Linked DNA regions of Danio rerio. The protein of the gene in region 1 binds, or shares a complex with, the protein of each later gene. Links are inferred from orthologs where the notes say so. Each region holds a gene or a part of one and is shown in the gene's direction. Other genes may lie near its edges.

The links.
Region 2: the proteins of per2 (region 1) and cry2 are in contact, whole or in part, in a crystal structure (PDB 4U8H), measured with the Mus musculus proteins. The link is inferred for Danio rerio from reciprocal best matches to the Homo sapiens genes PER2 and CRY2. Residues at the interface, in NP_035196.2 of Mus musculus: Tyr1132, Leu1134, Gln1135, Asp1136, Pro1137, Trp1139, Leu1140, Met1142, Ala1143, Asn1144, Thr1145, Ile1149, Met1150, Met1151, Thr1152, Tyr1153, Gln1154, Leu1155, Arg1158, Asp1159, Leu1160, Val1163, Leu1164, Asp1167, Gln1168, Lys1170, Leu1171, Leu1174, Gln1175, Ser1177; in NP_034093.1 of Mus musculus: Trp58, Ser63, Ser64, Val65, Lys163, Leu166, Thr167, Lys169, Arg170, Glu215, Leu216, Gly217, Phe218, Asn330, Pro331, Ile332, Cys333, Ile334, Gln335, Ile336, Pro337, Asp339, Asn341, Pro342, Glu343, Leu345, Ala346, Lys347, Ala349, Glu350.

The regions. Positions count from the first base shown.
Region 1 is NC_133177.1:51,605,550-51,615,335, reverse strand, and holds part of per2 (period circadian protein homolog 2), read left to right. Parts: intron 1-190; coding exon 191-333; intron 334-3,262; coding exon 3,263-3,341; intron 3,342-3,538; coding exon 3,539-3,645; intron 3,646-5,228; coding exon 5,229-5,379; intron 5,380-6,256; coding exon 6,257-6,365; intron 6,366-6,474; coding exon 6,475-6,615; intron 6,616-7,429; coding exon 7,430-7,505; intron 7,506-8,845; coding exon 8,846-9,011; intron 9,012-9,786. UniProt on the Homo sapiens protein: Transcriptional repressor which forms a core component of the circadian clock.
Region 2 is NC_133200.1:14,798,989-14,809,538, reverse strand, and holds the start of cry2 (cryptochrome-2), read left to right. Parts: upstream 1-5,123; 5' UTR 5,124-5,227; coding exon 5,228-5,385; intron 5,386-7,096; coding exon 7,097-7,205; intron 7,206-10,550. UniProt on the Homo sapiens protein: Transcriptional repressor which forms a core component of the circadian clock.

The DNA.
Region 1 (9,786 bases):
TCAAATAAATAAATATAGTTTTTATGCTTTTCCCCCTAAACATCCCTACATTTAATCCTAGTTTTTACCTTTTTTTTTTTCAAATTGTTCTAAATATGAGTTTCTTTATGAATCACGATCATTTGTGAGTTATGTTTCGGACTGAGCCAGTGTTTATCACTAAGTTGTTGCATTTGTGTGTGTTTTTCAGCGGCGGTAAGGAGTGTGAGGCAGATCTGCAGTATTATCCCTTCAGAATGACTCCGTATCTGATGAAGGTTCAGGATATGGAGCATTCAGAGGATCAGTTCTGCTGCCTCCTGCTGGCCGAGAGAGTGCACTCCGGCTACGAAGGTCAGCTCTTTCACACATTACCCTACATGGAGAACAGATTTCTTTTCATACAAGTAGTGGTTGAAGTGCATTGAGAAGAATATTCACAATTTGATCATTTGAATTTTGATGCAAAAAATAAATGATTTACTTACTGATGTATTTTTATATAAGTATAATTAAAGACTAATATAAAAAACATGATATTTTTTTGTTGTAGCCAAATAAATGTTTGGAAACACTTTATTTTGAGTATTATTAAACTGTCTGCTTAATATCTGTTGATACTGCTCCCTCAACAGACATTTAACTGACTATAAGAAACTTTGCAAGTACATGTCAACTTACACTAACCCTAACCCAGGGGTGTCTAAACTCGATCCCGGAGTGCCGGTGTCCTGCATAGTTTAGCTCCAACTTCCTTTAACACAACTCCCTGGAAGTTTCTTGATAGCTTGATTAGCTGGTTCAGGTGTGTTTAATTTGGGTTGGAACTAACATATGCTGGACATCGGCCCTCTAGGACCGAGATTGGACACCCCTGCCCCAACCTAACAGTCTACTTATAATCTTATGAGAATTAGTTGGCATGTAGATGCAATGTAACTTAACCCCGTTTACATTAATGCGTTTTAGTTTGAAAATGCATAAGTTTTGCTACGGTTACGCCATCCATTCACACTACACCGCAGTTTTCGAGCGCCGAAAACGGAGCGTTTTGGAAACGCTGGAGAGGCCGTTTTCATTGTGAAACGCTGCTGCTCTGTCTCAGTGTGGATGGGGGAAAACGGAGACATCTGAAAACGGAGGCGGGGCTGCTGAGATTCGCTACCTGATTGGGGCTTTGTGTCATTGCGTATCCTTCCCTTATTCGTCAAGCCCCTATCACATGACTATAACACATGGCTTTAACGCTACCGGAAGACAGCAAAACAGCCTTTACTGTAAACAACAACATGGACACAGAAATGGGAGCGTTGTTTGCACTATTGTCAGTTTTAGGCGCCATTGTGCAGTTATTCAATTGTTACTTTCAGTAACAACTCAACCTCGTCGTCTGTCCACAGAAATACCTCTCTTGCTTTCTTTGCCATCGCGTTCATTATTCAACCGGAGTTTGTTGACTTACAATAACCAAATGCAGAACGAGACACATGCTTCCTGTTTATACTAGAATGTGCATGCCCAGAGTGAGCGAATGGTCACGTGATATACGTTTTTGGTGGCGTAGTGTGGATGCAGATATGTTCAGAAACGCTAGGTGAAACACTAGTGTGGACGCGGATCGTTTTTGAACTAAAACGCAGTTTTAAAACTAAACGCACTAGTGTAAACGGGGCCTTAAATTCAACAAATGCACCCTCAAAGTCCAGTGTGACCAAATGTTTTCATTTTTTTGTTTTGTTTCTCAGTTGTATTTATTGTACATGTTATGATTGGTGCTGTCAAAAAAATGCAAACTACAAAACATTTACAAAATGCTTTAGACAATTCAGTCACAAATAGATTAGAGTAGATTCAACTTTGTTTTCATTACACATGTTCAAAAACAAAGCAACGAAATTCAGTTTAGGTCTAACAAGGAGTGCAATAGCAGCAAGTGCAGGATATAGATATAAGTTATAAAGTGCAGTTATAGAAAACTATGGGTAATATAATATACAGTAAGCAAAGTAATACTGTAAAATAAACGTCAACTTGCCGCTCTAAAAACATTCATTGTTATTAATTATTATCAATATGAAACAAGTGATGTTTTATGTTTTTGTGAAACCGAAATTAAGGCCCAGTCCCAATTCTATTTTTCTACCCCTACCCCTTCCCCTCAGCCCTTGCAACCGAGGGTTAAGGGGAAGGGCTTCAAAATTTACCCCTAAGAATTGGGACAGGATTACAGCACCTGCACACGTCATCATATGTCCTCGCGATCTCTTGCTTCATATGAGTTCAGATGATGGCGACTACTGTAGTGATTCCAGTTGTGTTATTTTGGGGTATTTATCTTCAGGAAATTACTGAAGGCATGTATTATGTTATCATAACAATCTAATGTGGCAATAAGATCGTAACTGTACTGTGCATTTACAGTGGCCATATTTATTAATGTAAACACACCAGAAACAGCATGAACATTATAACAGACACTGTAAAATGTCCAGTCCCAGCCACTAGACTTTTCTGACAGGGTATTCCAGTGTCATCGAGTGTCAGAATGTTGTGGGACTTCTGTACAGAAGTTATTATCGGGGGTTTTAGAACGGGAATAGATTGCGAAATTTAGCTGTTTTTATTTTAGCTAAATTTTTTAAAAGCATGACGGTAAAACACAAAAGCGGTTATGAATATATTAAAACGTGTTTGTTTGTTGTAAAAAAATCGTAATAATGACAAAAATAATCTCCTTACTTCTGGGTGCAGCTGGAGCTAGTGTATTCTGGGAAATTTTCCCTACCCCTTGGTTTCGAGTGTGGTCCTGAAAGATCTTCGTTTGAAGGGGTGTATACCTCTTGCCCTTAGCCCTACGCCTTCAAACTAAAGAGAATTGGGACACCACTACCCCTTCACGGGCACGCGCAAATTGAGGGGAAGGGCTAAAGGGTAGAATTGGGATTGGGCCTAACTGTTAGATTGAAAAAAACAGCATTTGTTTGAACTAGAAATCGTATATATCTTGATGAATCTTCATGCACTCGTTTTAAAAAAAATAAGTGAATACATCATTGATGAATAAAAGTGTTATTTTAAAAAAAAAAAGCAAGCAATCATAAATGCTACAGACCCAAAACATCTGATATATATAATCAAACACTGTGCAAATAGACGCAATCATGCCTGCTATTTTTGTTAACAAACATGATGGCAAATAAAGAAACTGACAAATGATTATTTTTAAGCAGTTTCAAATACTAAAATGTTGTAATATTAAAATCTTTTTCTGTTAATTCCTCAGCTCCCAGAATCCCCACAGACAAGCGAATCTTCACCACCACACACACTCCCAGCTGTGTGTTTCAGGATGTGGATGAGCGGTAAGATTTTAATGCTTCTGTTGATGAACATTAATAATGAAGATCAGCTGCTTGTTTAAACATTAAATGAGTGTTTCACACCACATCGCTCTGCCTCCACACCTGCTTTTTTCCATTTCTCATATTGATGCATATTAAAGGTAATAACAGTTGTTGTTCCCATTCCAGTCTAATCAGAAGGGTTTTTTCCTCTGTAGGGCTGTTCCGTTACTAGGATATTTACCACAGGATTTAATCGGCACACCTGTCCTTCTCCATCTGCATCCGAATGATCGGCCAACCATGCTCGGCATCCACAGGAAGAGTGAGTTTATTTCACTGATTTTCTTCACAATAAAATATAGTTAAGGTTTAAAGTTTAATTATTTCCTGCATAACAATACCATGATTGAGTTATTGCAGAAATTGCAGCTATATTTCAGTACAAAATACCCCCAAAAAAGCTAAATAAAAATAAATATATGAAATAAAACATTTAAAAATCTGTTCCACAAAAACCAATCTAATAAACATAAGCTGCACTAATAACCACTGAAAAACTTAAGTGTACTACATACTTCATACTCAACCTGCATCCCAACATCAAAATGGGTTAAAAGTTGTCAAATAGGAATGATTGAGAGATTTTGCAATAACAGATAGACTTTGAAGTAATTTATAATAAATTTTTTTTAATTATTAAACTTTTTATGCTCCTCTATTGAAATGCTACTAAATTAAAATAATAACGAATTTATATATATTTCTTAGCATTTTTACTAATAACATGTTTGATGCATCTCTAAATGCTTCTTTAAATGCTACTAAATGAAAATAATAATTTATTTGTTTATTTTTTTATGTTTAATTATTACATTTTTATGCTTTTCTAATTAAATGCTACTAAATATAAATAATAATAAAATATATCTTTAAATTAATTCGTAATAACAGTTTTGAAGCTACTCTCAAATTAATTGCTACTATATAAAATAATTAATTTGTATAACTTTTATTTTTATCATTTTTAATAATTAAATTTGTATTTAATTAAATTTGTCTCTAATTAAATGCTACTAAATTAAATTAATAATAAAATATTTTTATTATTTTTTTATAATTACATTTTTATGCTTCTTTAATTCAATGCTACTAAATTTAAATAATAATTTTTTTATCGTTTTTTAAAAATATTTTAAATAATTAGATTTGTTTAAATTGTTTAATTTGTTTATTTTTTTATCATTTTTATAATTATGTTTCAGTTTAAATCGTTTAATTTTTTTATTTAAATGTGTTTATTTGTTTATTTTTTATAATTACATTTTTAATGCTTCTAACTTAAGAACCTTTTCAGCACTGCATGAAAATCAATACCAAATCCAAAACTGCAGCTAATCTAATGTATACACAAACATCTTACTTTATAGCATCCTGTAGAAAATATTCATTTAAAAGAGAGATCTGTAGGGGTATACTAAACATATACTTTTGGAATTTTTAATGTTATCTGAGATAGCATTAACATGGTATAGAATATTATTAATGTATATAATATATATTATAATGATTTTTATCTAGAGAGACTTTAAAGGAAATATTTTTCAATGTGAATCCTTCTAAAATGGTACAATTTTTATCAAAAGTAAACCTTAAAGAAGTGTTTTAGATTTTTATTTTGTGTGTTATTTATTGCTGTTGATATCATTACTATAGAAAAGAGACATTTATATGTGTGATAATGTAAATCTGATCTGGTTTTGCATGAAATATCCAGAGATGCTGATATGACAATACATTCGAAACTCTCTCTCAAAAGGCTATATTAAAGTAATGGTGAATCTTTTAGTTTATAGTGAAAGGAGTTTAAGTATCCTGTTTGAGAATGAAATGTTTGTGTCTCCTCAGTCCTGCAGTGCGCCGGTCAGCCTTTTGACCATTCGATCCGCTTTTGTGCTCGTAACGGAGAGTACATCACCATCGACACCAGCTGGTCCAGCTTCGTCAATCCCTGGAGCCGCAAAGTTTCCTTCGTCATCGGCAGACATAAAGTTCGCATGTAAGTTACATTCAGCTGTGTAGCGCTTTTCACTATGGTTACTGTTCCAAAAGCAGCTTCAACAAGCACACATTATTGCATTATGGTCATTTTGACACTATGTTATAGCTTTTAATGTTCATACTTTTGGAGCTTTGGTGTTGTATACATTTACGTTGCTTGTTTTTTTTTAGTTGTGCATTTTTTTTTACATATAAAAAAATCACACCAACACTAAACCTTAAAAACAATGGTTCCCAAGACCCCCTTTTCCGCTGGAAAATATTGTAAGCCCCCCCTCAACATTTATTGATAATATTGCTCATAATACTTTGCAGTAAGAATGACAAAAAAAAAAAATTTCAAACAAACGGTAAGTTTATTATTATATCTAGAAATGTTCATGCACAAATAGTCTGTGTAAAATGTAAAATATAAAAGCAAAACATCCGTAAGCCATCTGTAAATAAAAAAAACATGATCCTTTGGCCTTTAAATTGGCCATATATTAGTTGCAAATCAGTTGACAAATTTTCTTTTCAGTAGCTATGATGTCCCTCATCTCATTTTGGGTGGATGTCAATTCTTTTGCCTTGCGCTCAAAAAGTCCTTGTCGTGGTATTGGGGATAAGTCGTCTGCAAATGTCTGATTAATTTGGACGCCTCATGCATTCGTTAGCAAGAACTTTAACTTTGCACTGATTTGACACATTTTATGCTACAAAAAAGTCACAGCTATCTTAACTTTTTAATGACTGTTAACTCATTTTGACATTTTTATTTTTAAATTCATTTTTTATGAATACATTTTCAAACTTTTGGTGTTGCTTACATTTATATTAGATTTTTTTTTTTTTTTTAAATGTGCACCTTTTTGAAATTTTGTCCATTCTTCCAGGGGTCCGGTGAATGAAGACGTGTTTGCAGCTCCGGCTACTGCTGAAGGCAAATGCGTGGATTCTGACATCCAGGACATCACCGAGCAGATTCACAGACTCCTGCTGCAGGTGCCCAAACTCATTCACAGTAGAAAGATCCACATTAATGCTTCTAAATATAGACTGACCATGAGAGACATCAAAAGCATTGGTTAAAAAATACGTGTGTGATTTGCAGCCGGTGCACAATAATGGTTCAAGTGGCTATGGCAGTCTGGGCAGTAATGATCACCTGCTGAGTGTGGCGTCATCCAGTGAAAGCAATGGTAACGGGACACGACAGAGACATGAAGAAGAGGACATCAGGAAAGCCAAACCGGTGAGTCACATCATCAATTCTAGCCATTTTTTACAAGTCAAATGTGTCACTTTTATTCATGCCTTGAGAACTTTCCATCATAATACATTGTGTTACAAGCTACTCTGTAGGAAAAGTAGTTAAAGCTCCTGTCAAACTACACTAGAAAGAATGTTTTTTGCTGTTTGTTCAAACTATTTATTTAAAATGAGCTAAATCAACACAATTATTAAGTTTCTTTGGGGACATTTTAATTGATTTTATGTTTAATCCACTTAAATTAGCAAAAACGATGTTGTATACGCACACAGACTTTTAGATTTCAGCCAGCCAGCCCAAGCGCTTCCAGTGAACTGCTGCACTATTATAAAATTGCCATGTTTAAGATCTGATTTTAAATGTAGCATTGCAAGAACTTAGATTAAGCACACAGTAACACTTTGTTTAAATAAAAGTGACAAATGGCTTCATTTTGGTAGGAGATTTTTGTGAAGTCTTTTCTTTTAAAGGCTTTTAGATAACTACAGTTACTGAAAGAGTTGATATGCTGATAAGTGGTCATTGATTCAGTGTAAGCGGACAGTTAAATACATTTATTTTTATACAACAAGTAGTCTAAGCGCCCCTGGATTTCACATTTAGCCCATCAAGTGCAGCCGTTGTCCGAAATTAATGTTTGTTTTTTAAATACCACAAGTCTTTCATGGGGTTTCCACTACTCATATCAATATGATACATCATTTTTGTTATATTTAGCTACTCAAGTCTTAATACTTATCTTTTTTAAAGCAAGTCTGGTGGATTGATTAGTCTTTTTGTGTGTGTGATTTCTCAGAGGAGCTTTCAGGAGATCTGCAAAGGCGTTCACATGCAGAAAAACCAGGAGCTGCAGTCCAAGAAAAGCCCTACTAGTATGTACCCATATCCGCTACCATCTGTGCACCTCGTCTGTCATCAAAGTCTGTGGTTTTTTTTATGCAATCTGTGCTCAAATATTTCCAAGATTTGGTATCAAATAATCACTATTAGTTTACATGAACAAAAATTGGATTGTAAATTCAACTGTGATATTGAAACCTCAGCAGATGGGATAGAGGAACAAAGGAGAATAGAAAAGAAAAGAATAGAATAGAATATAATAGAATAGAATACGATACAATACATTACAATACAATGACAGAGTATAATGGAAAAGAATGGAATACAATAAAATGGAATAGAAAAGAATAAGTTAGAATGGAATAGAACAGAGTAGAATGGAATAGATAAGAATTGAACTGAATAGAACACAACAGACTAGAGTAAAATAGAATAGTATAGAATGGAATAGGATAGAATAGAACAGATGGGAGTGGTACTGAATAGATCACAATAGAATAGAATGGAATGGAATAGAATGGAACAGAACAGAGTCGAACTGAACAGAATAAAAGATTCAATGTATAATTAGTTTGTATGCATTACTGTTCGAGGGACATTAAAGGGATAGTTCACCCAAAATTAAATTTACTCACTATTTATTGGTCCTCAAGTGGTTACAGAGTTTATTGTTTCTTTCTTCTGTTGAACTCTAAAGAAGCTGTTTTGAAGAAAGCTAAAATTGGTATCCATAGTAGGAAAAGCAGATAGTTACAGGTTTCCAACATTCTTCAAAATATCTTCTCTTGTGTTCATCAGAAGAAAGAAACTCATGAAGGTTTGAAACATGTAAAGGGTGAGCAAATGTAACAGAATATTCATTTTTGGGTGCATTATCCCTTTAAGAGGTCATTTTCATCATGATTTTAGTTATATATGGTAATAAATGAATAGTTTTATTCTGTAAGATTTCAATAATTTGTTCAAAAATAACAAAAACATTTACCGTCATTTTTTCATTTTATTTTTATTTTTTTAATATTTTATTAAATTCTTCTTTATGGGACATCCTGTAAAAAAACTTCCAGTAAGTTAGCACATTTTCTGTTATTTAACAGACTTGATTCTTTCTATATTATTTTTTCTCATGCAATATATTGTTTCAAACCACTAAACTGTCATTAAAAGGCACTTGGTTGTACTGAAGAGTTGAAATTTCATCAACAGAACTCTACAGATCACAAGTGAAGTCAAATTATGCAATTCATAACTGTAAATAAACACAAAAAAGTCCTTTGAATCACAAAATACAGAACGCAGTTTTTACAGAAGTTTAGAATTTATTTTGAGTAATTGTGTAGCCTTCTCAAGCCTGTTTCTTCCTCCCCTGCAGAGTTTGTTCAGAAAAGTCCAGTGGTTCGACCGAAAGACTCTGCATATCCAGTGAACTGGAGAGAGTCTCAGGAGGAGCAGCGAGCGGCGGTGCAGGAGGAGCTGGCCTTCAAAGACCAGACCGTCTACTCCTATCAGCAGATCAGCTGCCTGGACAGCGTCATCCGGTACAAACACACACACACACACACACACAGTCACGTCACAACGGAAACTGCTGGAGACTGTCTCCGCTTGCAGACTAATGTAATGCACTTATCGACCGTGTTATGCTAAGCGACTGAATGAAGTGTGCCAGGAGGAACAATGATTCAGCAGAGAACATTAGATTTAGCAGGAGCTGGAATTACACTTCTGGATGTCTAGCCTAAAGCCATGGAAAATGACGCAGCATTGAGACCTGCTCAGGTTTAAAGAGATGGATCACCCAGAAAGAACCATTTATTATCAGTTTACCCGCCCTCGAGGGGTTTTAAACCTTTGAGTTTCTTTATTCTGTTGAACACAAGAGAAGAATTGCTGAGTAAATTATGACAAAATTTTTGTTTTATAGTGAACTATTTTTTAATCCACTTTACCCTGGATATGGCTATGTTTTGTGTGTGTGTGTGTGTCTATATATATTTAAAGTTTAAGTTAAAATTATTAGCCTTCCTCTAAAATTTTTATTCTTTAGAGTCTTTAAAATTCTGTTTAATAAAACATTTAGTTATTACAAAATAATTAAAACTATTTCATTTAAAATTAAAAAACATTAAGCAACACTTTTATGAAGGAAATAAATGTTTACAAGAAGGCTAATAATTTGGACTTTAACTGTATAACATATATATATATATATATATATATATATATATATATATATATATATATATATATATATATATATATATAATATCCACTGCGCAAAACATGCCAGAGTAGTTGGCGGCTTGTTCCACT
Region 2 (10,550 bases), on another chromosome or scaffold:
GATAGCAGCTAGCTCCATACTCTCCAGATGGAGAAAGACATTATGGTGTGTTTGTGCTCACAAAAAGCATTTACCTGGAGGAATCGACTAAGGGTGAGTAAGTGCCTCATCCTTAGTTAAAATAAAAACCTTCCTGGCCACAGAAGTCTCTCAGCGCAGTCTCTGGGTCAGCTGATGTCCACTTTAGTGGTCCAGGAGCACCACCTATGGCTTAACCTCACAGGGATGCAAGACGTCAGTTCAGTGACTCTGTCAAGGATTCTGTGCTGCAATTTTCAACCTTAAAAAAGCAGACGGACGCCATTAAACATGTCTTGTTTCGATGTGGGTCAGTTGCTATCCCTGCGCCCCCGAGACTCTAGCCTTCACCTGCTCCTCGTTCAAATTTCCATTAGACAGATGGCTCTCAATTGGTCACCAAAAGAGCAATTTCCTCTATCACTGTGTCTCTCTCACACACTCATGTGCTCACACACATATTGGCTCTTGTCATCCCGACAGCCAAGCATTGGAAATCAGTAACAGGATCTGACCAGGCACAAATACAATAGGGACTTTTGCACCTGAGGAACTTTTCACAGCTCCTACAACTATTAGTAGAAGTACATGTTTTTTTTTGTTTTTTTTTACATATTTAAACTAGAAATAGGAGAAACAAGCCTAAGATCCAAGTTTCGAAACAACACAAGCAATTGCTTTGCAAGATTCACTGTTTCGAATAATTTGCATCAGCACGTGCTAGGGACACCTGTTGGTCAAAACTGTGTGAATGCAGCAAAAACATGCATTAGAACTGTATTTCTTGTGACTTTTTCAAACATGTTGTAAACTTTAAGTTGAAAGTCTAACCTGGAAATGAACTTATCTTATCTAATATCATTAAATATTTTGTGTCTGCATAATATGCATTCTTTTAATACATTTTCAAGGCGTATGGGTTGTTCATTCCATGTTGGGCTCTGCTAAACAGGCTAGGAAGAAACTGTTAACAATTTCTTTTTACATATGTCGCATTAAATTGTTCTGCTGAACACAAAAGAAAATATAAAAAAAACGGCAACCATTATGCACATGAAAAACAAATACTATGGAAGTCAAAGCTTAAAGGTTTTTACAGGCCAATAGTGAATAAATGATAACAGAATTTTTATTTTTGGGTGAACTATCCTCCAAGTCTAATAGGAGCTCTCTGTAAAACGCTCTAGTTTGTTTAAACTCACAAACTCAAGTTTACCAGCTGCCTTGAAAATGTTAGTCAGCAGCAACTCAACTTAGATTCTTTGTTTCAACTTAAGATGTTGAGTTTTAGTTAAACATATAGGGGAATTACCAACCTACGTCACACATGACGTCGCACGGGTTCAACCACACATACCGGTTGCAAAAAAAAGACCAATTGCAATAGCAAACATGTCGCGTTGTCTGGTAGGATGTCATAATCGAAAGTCCAAAAATAAAAAACATAAATTTTAAATTTAACAGCTATCATAAGAGCTGAATGGAGTGACGACCTAATTAAAAATGCTGGACTCTTCAGTTCTCAGTTTATATAAAGTAAGTTCACGCTAAACTGAATCATACTCATTACTCGTTTTGGATTGCAGCAATGATTTCAGCAAAAACAGTTAAATATGGTTAATTCAACTGTTGACACTGAATGCTTAGAATGAAATGTTAAAATGTAAGTTCACATACCCTGCTGAACAGGTGCAGTTCGCTGTCAAAATGCAGTCTTTTTGCTTGTTGATGATTACCCAGGCCTTGTACAGTTCCATCTACTTTCCTTGTCTTAGGCTCAGCAGAACCTCGTTTTTAGCACAACATGTCATGGAACATTATTTCTTGCACATGATCACACAGAACAAAATTGTTGGCATACAGACTTGTAGGCCTTTCTTCTCTCTTGTAAATCACTTGGAGTTTTAATGAGATTGTCGTATATTTCGGCCTGGATGCTTGGCCATTTCGTCTTATCTAATATCCATTAGGAGGGTGCTATCGCAAATGGACCTGTCAGACGAATGCCGATCACTTTAACGTTAATTTTGCAGAATAACTGTGCTTATCACTGGGTGCCTAGCTGCTATTATACGCTGAAAGCATTATGGAAATAATATATATATATAATATGTATTCAATATAACTTATCTCTAATACAACAACAAAATCTGTTCCGCATTGGATGTCATTCCCTCGCTGTAAATGCTAGCACTCGCGTTTTTTTTTCTGCCACCTCGATGTGCACGCATCCTGAATGTTTACAAACTGGTAATTCACCTATTGTGAAACTCAACATCTTAAATTGAAACAAAGAGTCTCTCTAAGTTGAGTAGACACATTTTCAAGGCAGCTGGTGAGCTTTTTGAGTTTGTAAGTTTAACCAATGTGAAATGTTTTACAGTGTGGGATGATAGATAATTTACAAGAATGAACTCTTTAAATCTATTTCTACAGATTACAAGTACTGTTATTCTTTTATCCTCTCTTCTTTTATATTTTTCTTCCATATGCTGAAATGATTTAGATTTTAGAAGTCAAGAATTGTGCATTTTTAGTGCTATCTAGAGCAGAGATGCCCAAAGTAGGGTCCGCGGGCCAAAGTTGGCCAATGCTAACCTTTGATTTGGCCCACCATCCCATTTGAGAAGATAGTGAGAATGATGAGGCAAAAACAGGACAGAGGTCATTCATTTCAATTCAATGTAACCTTTTGTTTTTGTTTGTTTTGTCCTTTCCTTTGTTTTGTAAATGAATCAAATTTTTAAAAATGTAAATGCTGTCACTCGACAAATAGAGGACAATGGCATGTGCAGTTTAGTGTATCCAGCATTGAACTCAATGGTGTTATTAATGGGATTGTTGATGCTTTCACTGTAATGAATTCATTTCAGATTCAGACATTTTTATAGACTGCATTAGTTAATATAACTTATCTTTAAATATTAGGAAAGAAATTAGGAAATTACTCAATACAGTTTGATTTACCTTCTGCCCACAGCCGACTTTTCTCATAAGAAAAAGTTTGGGCACCCCTGATCTAGAGGCACAAGTCTACTTTCTGTTCTAGAAATCAGTAGACAAAAGAGGATGGTCAGTGAAGAGCTGAAATATGTAAATGAATATGGTTCAATAATAATTTGGTTTCGTAATTAAAATTGCTCGGCTCAGTTGGCGTTTCTGTGTGGAGTTTGCATGTTCTCCCTGAGTTTGTGTGGGTTTCTTCCGGGTGCTCCGGTTTCCCCCCACAGTCCAAAGACATGCGATACAGATGAATTGATTAGGTTAATTTGTCCGTAGTGTATGAGTGTGTGTGTGGATGTTTCCAGAGATGGGTTGCGGCTGGAAGGGCATCTGCTGCCTAAAAACTTTCTTGGATAAGTTGGCGGTTCATTCCGCTGTGGCAACCCCGCATTAATAAAGGGACTAAGCCGACAAGAAAATGAATGAATGAATGAATTAAAATTGCTCTAGGATGTATTGCTTCATCATTATGTTATGCACAAGGAGTTCATACAGATGAGGTAAATTAAGAAGCTCTGAAAATAGAGTAAATTGTAGTTTAAAAATCAGTCTCTCTAGAGGCCAGTGCATGAACGGATTCACAACTACAGCATAAAAGTTCACTTGTTTAAGCTCACGTTTCATCTTGGTTAAAGTTACTCATTAATTGACGGAGTTGTCGTAAGAGAGAAAACATTGTGCATTAACTAATTATTATTTTTATAAAAAATAAAAGATAAGACATGCATGTTGCTAGAGTGGAGCTGCACAAACTAGGTAACATAAATAATGTATTATTATAGTATTGATTACATTATTGCACTTTTGATGCACAATTATTTATATTATAGTATTAAAAGATGCATTCATTCATTTACGTTTCGGCTTAGTCCCATTTTTAATCAGGGGTCGCCACAGCCGAATGAACCACCAACTTATCCATCATATGTTTTACGCAGCAGATGCCCTTCCAGCTGCGACCCATCACTGGGAAACACCCTTACACTCTCATTTACACACACACTACAGACAATTTAGCTCACCCAATTCACCTATAGCCATGTCTTTGAACCTGTGGGGGAAACCGGAGCACCTGGAGGAAACCCACGCAAACACAGAGAGAACATGCAAACTCCATACAGAAATGACCCAGCCGAGGCTCGAACCAGCAACCTTCTTGCCGCAAGGCGACTGTGCCACAGTGAAACCCTAGTATTAACCCTAGTATTAATAGTATTTGTGAGAATTAACTTTTTTCACCAATACATTTTATTATTTTATATGAGAAATTATTTGAAAATATATATTTCTTTGTTACAATGTTCGTGTACATCTATATTGTTATTATTTGCAAGAATTAAATTTTTTCTACCACACATTTGCTCATTATATAATATAATACTATATTATAGATTGATTTACAGACAGGCAGGCAGACAGACAGATAGATAGTATAGTAATGTACTACTGTAACAGTTATACATAAATATTATTTTTATTATTTTACTGTAAAGATTCTTTGTTTCGTTCATATTACTTTTTTAAAGAGGCTAGTCAGACAGGTTGAAACACTGACCCATGGGCATGTGAGCCAAACCTGACCTCTATTTCAGCCACAGTAACCTTAAAAGTTCATTGACCATAATCTGAACCCTTTATTTATCTGATCTCGTTAATGTGAAGAACAACCGCGAGGAGGCGCAAAAACACCACTCAACTACAACTGCGTTTGCTCAGGATCCTCTTATAAAACATGTTTGGCATCTGCAAGTGTGCATACACACACACATCAGTATGGGAGAAATACATTCCTCATTCTCCAGCTGTGGTGTGGCGTTGCTCGCTGCAGACGGTATTTTGCAAAGAGCACTTGACTCTGCGCGTGACTTGAGTGTTGTTACCAAGTTGCACGAATTGATGTCATAATTTGACGATGAACATGGCGAACAACACACCAAAGAAACGTGACGGGGCTGGACCTGCATCGTGAGCCCGAGCCAATCACAGCTCGGAGGCCCGAGTCACTCATTCCGGTAATCCGTACACGTGTCCGCCCGCTGGCCAATGAACGCGGGGAGAGGCGGAAAAAAACCATTGCGTCTGCTGTGTCTGCTCCCCATCTCAAACTCTACACTGAACCACAATGTGCGTGCAGGACGGCTGAAATCGCGAATTGTTTACTCTTCTGGATTTCCTTGGAACTTTTACGATGGAATAAAGCGCTATTATGGTGGTGAATTCGGTGCATTGGTTTCGCAAAGGGCTGCGGCTTCATGATAATCCGGCTTTGCAGGAAGCTCTAAATGGCGCGGATACTGTACGGTGTGTTTATATTTTGGACCCGTGGTTTGCAGGCTCGGCTAACGTGGGAGTCAACCGATGGAGGTGGGTTTCACTTATTTTTTGGCGTGTTGTGGTTATGTTGAAAATTAGGATATGTTGTTTTGGTGTTTTAGTGATTATTGGAAATGGTAACGTTAGCGGTTAACTGCGCAGCTCTTTTGCACAAACGCTGCTGTTTTGGCCTTATGTCTGATATGTAAGTCTGAAATGTAATTTTACCGTAATATGTTCGTGTGAATGTCGGATTTAAGTGGTAAATGACGTATTTATTATATATACATAAAAAAACTTAACACGCTTGCGTGCGGCCCTGGTTGATGTTTTGACTAAGTTAGTTTAACAAACTTTGTTACTCAACTTAAACACCAATGATTGAACTATTTAAAATGTTATTTCCTTTTTTAAACACCGATTGATAAACTAATGTTTATTTGCGTGAATTGTGTAATTCCGTGGCGGTGCCATGAGAGCAAATGGAGGCTAATGATAACAGGCTAGTCGTTTTGCTCACGCCCACTTCGGTTTTATATAACGGCTAAAATTACCAATTTCGTTACTGCGTCATTGAGTGTTTTCTCGATGAACTCTAAATCTTTATAGACTGAAACTGATGTAAAGTGTGTGTAAAATGTTGTTTTCGTATGCAAAAGCTCGAGTCACGTGACGGAGCGATTGTATTTTCACGTGTTGTGTCTTAGCAGACATGCCGAGGGAGGGATGCGGTGTTTGAATGAACAAACCAGACATAATGTATTGTGAAATCTGTCAAAACGTTGTCAAATATTTTGATTATTTTGTTTATGTGCCCATTTTTCTTATGTTGTAATAATAATAATTATTATTATAATTATTATAAACATTGTGCATGATTAATAAGACAATAACGTTACTCAATATCTAGTTTAGTTAAAATATGTTTGTTAGCTTTCGTAAGTTTATGATTCATTCCAATGTCTCGTCTTTTAAAGCCATTGAATAAGATTTGTGACTTTCTGCTGTCCTCGAAGAACGAGTTCACCCGCAAATAACATTTGCTGTATGTTTACTCATCCACAAGGCAATCAAAGATGTAGGTGACTTTCTGAAGTAAAATTGTAAAGATTTGTTTAGCTTAAGCTGTGGTCCTTCGTGATTTGTAAAATGCAAGTCAGTGGATTCTGCCACTTTGATAGTCAAAATACATACAGGCAAACTTAAAGTAATACTTGTTATACTCCTTTAAAAACATTGAGGTCTTTTGAAGTAAGAAAACAAGACGACAAATAGGTTCCCTAAAGTATCTAGGCCTTAATTTGTTTCTCTTTTACGCTTTGATAGGTGATAAGTATTATTTTTTATATTATTTCTAACCAGCTATGTTAAATAATAATCTTAATTGACCATTGTGTTTTACTAATGGCTTAAATGAGTGCAAACTATTCATTCACCCTAAAAATATTGGTCCAAAAACATCAGTTACTAATCAAAGCAATTTTTTAAAAATGTAATCAAATTAAAGCTTTTTAAGTAATATGTTAGGAGAACTTGATTATATATTTTTAAAAACGAGCCATTTGTTGATGATGAGGCCCTAAAGTACAACTATTTGTTCATTAAAATATATATATAATTTTCTGATTATGCCTGAAAAATAAAATGAACAGCATTAGTGAGAAATCATTCTTGTTTTCTCGGACTGAAAAAGACTGTAATGTCAAGGTATCTTGAAACAAAAGGTTTGGCTCAAATCATATTTTTCCATTTCTCTCCACAGATTTTTACTGGAATCTTTGGAGGATTTGGACACAAGTTTGAGAAAACTGAATTCGAGACTTTTTGTGGTGCGCGGACAGCCAACAGATGTCTTCCCTAGACTCTTCAAGGTCTGTTTTCGTCTCTGGACATTTGTCTTGTATCTTTTTGTTTCTCTTTTGGCTTTTCATTTCTAAACATTTGTGTCTAAAACTTGTAACATGGAAAACGTCCACCAGGCCTGAGGTGGACATACTGGTGCGTAATACATACCTGAGATATCAGGGCATTTGGTAACTGTTGACTGCAGTTAGTCGATTTAAAATAAGATATTTCAATATATTCACCATTAAGTTACTTATTGAACTTCATTTGTTTTAGTAGAAATTCAATAATAGTTTAAGTTTGTCATTTAGTTCTAATGTTACAATACATTGTTTTTGGCAGCAGCACTGATTTAAAAGCTTAAACTGATTGCCAAATATCAGCCGCTTGCTAATTAGTTTAGCAAACATTAGGTAGTTGCTATGACTTCATAATAAACACAGTCTAGTTAGTATGCAGGGCAGTGTGTGTTCGAATCTGGTCCAACAGCAAAGTAAAGATTTAGGCAATTGTTTCACCATAATAAGGTTTATTTTGCAGCGTTGTCTGTTTGGTATGCAACAAAATGGAAGGATGTAATGTGTCAGATGAATATCACAGCTTAACTTGCTTGTTTTGGGCTAAAACAAGACACTATTACCTCTCTTTTATTATCACAAAATACTTTATTGTTGGAAGTTTTGGAATGTTCACATAGTTTCCATTCTGTATATTCAGAACGTTTACTGTAAGTGTTCAAATTTAATGTCATGGAGAATGGTAATGAATAAACATTTTAGTCATAGAAGGGAGTAAGGCTGCACGAAATGGTAACTTTGATATTGCGATATTTAGTTTTTCTGTGATAAATATTGCAATATGAACACAGTTTCACAAGAATAGCTCTATTTGACGGTTTTCTGGGGAGTCTTAACAGTATTCAGGCACGGAAATTAAATATTTACAATGCAAATAAATATGCTTTTCTTATTTTTTGTCTTGTTTCCAATCCAAATATCAAGAAAATAAATCTTAGATCAAGTAAAATATTGTTTTAATTTTACCATCAGAAGAAATAAGTGAAAATTAAGAGTTTTGGTTTTTTTTTGCTAGTTTTACAGAAATGATCTGCCAGTGGGCTAGCGGAAAAAATCTTGTTTTCACTTTGACATGTAGATATTTGGACTAGAAACAAGACAAATTTTAAGTAAGAGATGTTTTTGCATAAATCATAAATTCCATATACATACAGTAATAAAATACAATGATGAGGCTCCTGGTCAACTATTATTCAGACTGGAGTCGCATATCTTTGTGATATGACCATTGTAATTGCGCACATTGCGATATCGATGCTGAAATTATACAATGTGCAGCCTTATAAGTGGAATAAGCTCTTTTAGTTAATATTCAGTTTTTTATATGTAAAATATTTCAATTTAATTCTAAAAACCTTTGTCTAACTAACATAATTGTCTTCACACAGAGGCTTACACACAACCACACAAATACAATAAATAAAAATAAACAAGCAAAATACATTCAGAAATGCAATATTCATTTGTTGTCAACAGCTAATTTGTTTCTAAAATTATTAATGGGGAGTCTGCGGGGTCTTAAAGTTAAAAGTTGATAAATCAATGCTGAGAAAATTAAGTCCTTTTAAAGGTATTTAAAAGTCTTAATCACATTTTACGAGATCTTAAATTTTGTTCAAGCGTTGTCCAAAGTGTTTGACTCCAATAAAAGCATAAATATATTTATTTTTCTCCTAATATTAACAATGGTGTGCTCGATCCACATAATTAGTTCTGGCCTGGGCGCGTCCGACCAAGCTCCTCCGTCCGGGTTTTGTCACGTATTTTGCGACAAATGCGGAAAGGTCATGTGATGCTCTCCACATGTAGCGAAACCATAGAGCGAAACAGACAGCAAAATGGGAAAATGTAAGTTTGCTTACCCCTGGTTGGAGAAAGATGAGCTAAAACAGTGGCTGAAACATGTCGCTGAAAACAACAGCATAATTTATTCTTTCAAGCTTTGTTTCTTCCAAACTTATCTGAGTTCTGTTGCATGGTTGTGCTTCATTGATTTATTTAACTTAATTTATTTATTGAAATTACCTTTTGGATTTCTGCATATACCCAGTATTAAAAATAATCACACAAACGACTAAAAAAAGTAATTGAAATTATTGGAGCCAATAACCCAATGGTTTAGTGCGCTGACATATAGCACCATGGTGCTCACAATGACCTGAGTGCAATTCCCAGTTTATCCTGAAAATAATTGTTAAAAGAAATGGAAATTCATGGCCGAATGGGTTTTTTTGTTGTTTTTTTTGTGTTGTACTAAATGTTTCCTATAACATTTATTATCCAGGTATGTCTGTAAAAGACAATGTCTTTTTTTAAGTGCCAAAAAACATTTCATGAACTTTCGTGATCAGCTAATGTTAAGAAATATCAATGCTGTACATTAAATATTGCTTTTACTTTAAAATATAATTAATTAGGAAGTCATTTAAAATATAAAAAAAATAATAATATCGCTGTTAAGGGCTGCACAATATTGGGAAAATCTGACATTGCGATAATTTCTGTTTAATTTCTTGTGATATGAATATAATTTCACCAGATTGTTTAAACAGCCATTTGAAAAGGTTTCATTCACTTAGATTGGGATGATCAAATCTTTTCTATGCAGTGTGTTTGCATAAATTATAATAAATTACAAGCATACTGTATGTAAATACAACAGATTAAAGATAAAAGTTAAATTAAATAAACAGTGCTTTATAGTTTCTAACGGTAGTCTAACAGTATTTGAGTACAGAAATTAAACAATCAATTGTAAAATAATATGGTCATCATTGTATAAATAATTTCAAAATAATAATATTTTATAATGCTATTATCATTTGATTTTTAATAAATTATCTAATACTGCTATGTGACTATTGAGGAGACACACATTGCAATGTCAATGCTCAAGCGAAATATTGTGCAGCCCTAATCACTGTGTATATATTAAACCAAATTCAGGAGCATGAGAATCTTTACCCATCATATATTCTATAATTTCAGCTATAAACGTCACCACATCCCATCATTTTTCATTTAGATAAAAACTTCTAGTAACTTCATTTTAAATAAGCATTTGATACCTGTAAGGCTGTTTGGTTTGCTTCAGCATCCTAAGGTAGTTTGTTATGAAAGATCTCATTTTCATGCTGCTGAAGCAGGCTTCTCTTTTTAGCATGCCAGTGTGCCAGTCAGACATTGGCAAGTGAGCTGAACGATCCCTTTGGCAGGTGGTTAATGGTGCTGTTTATGCATGAGGGTGAAAGCACCAGCACATGAACCCTTTATAGTGTGCTTGTGTAACCAAGA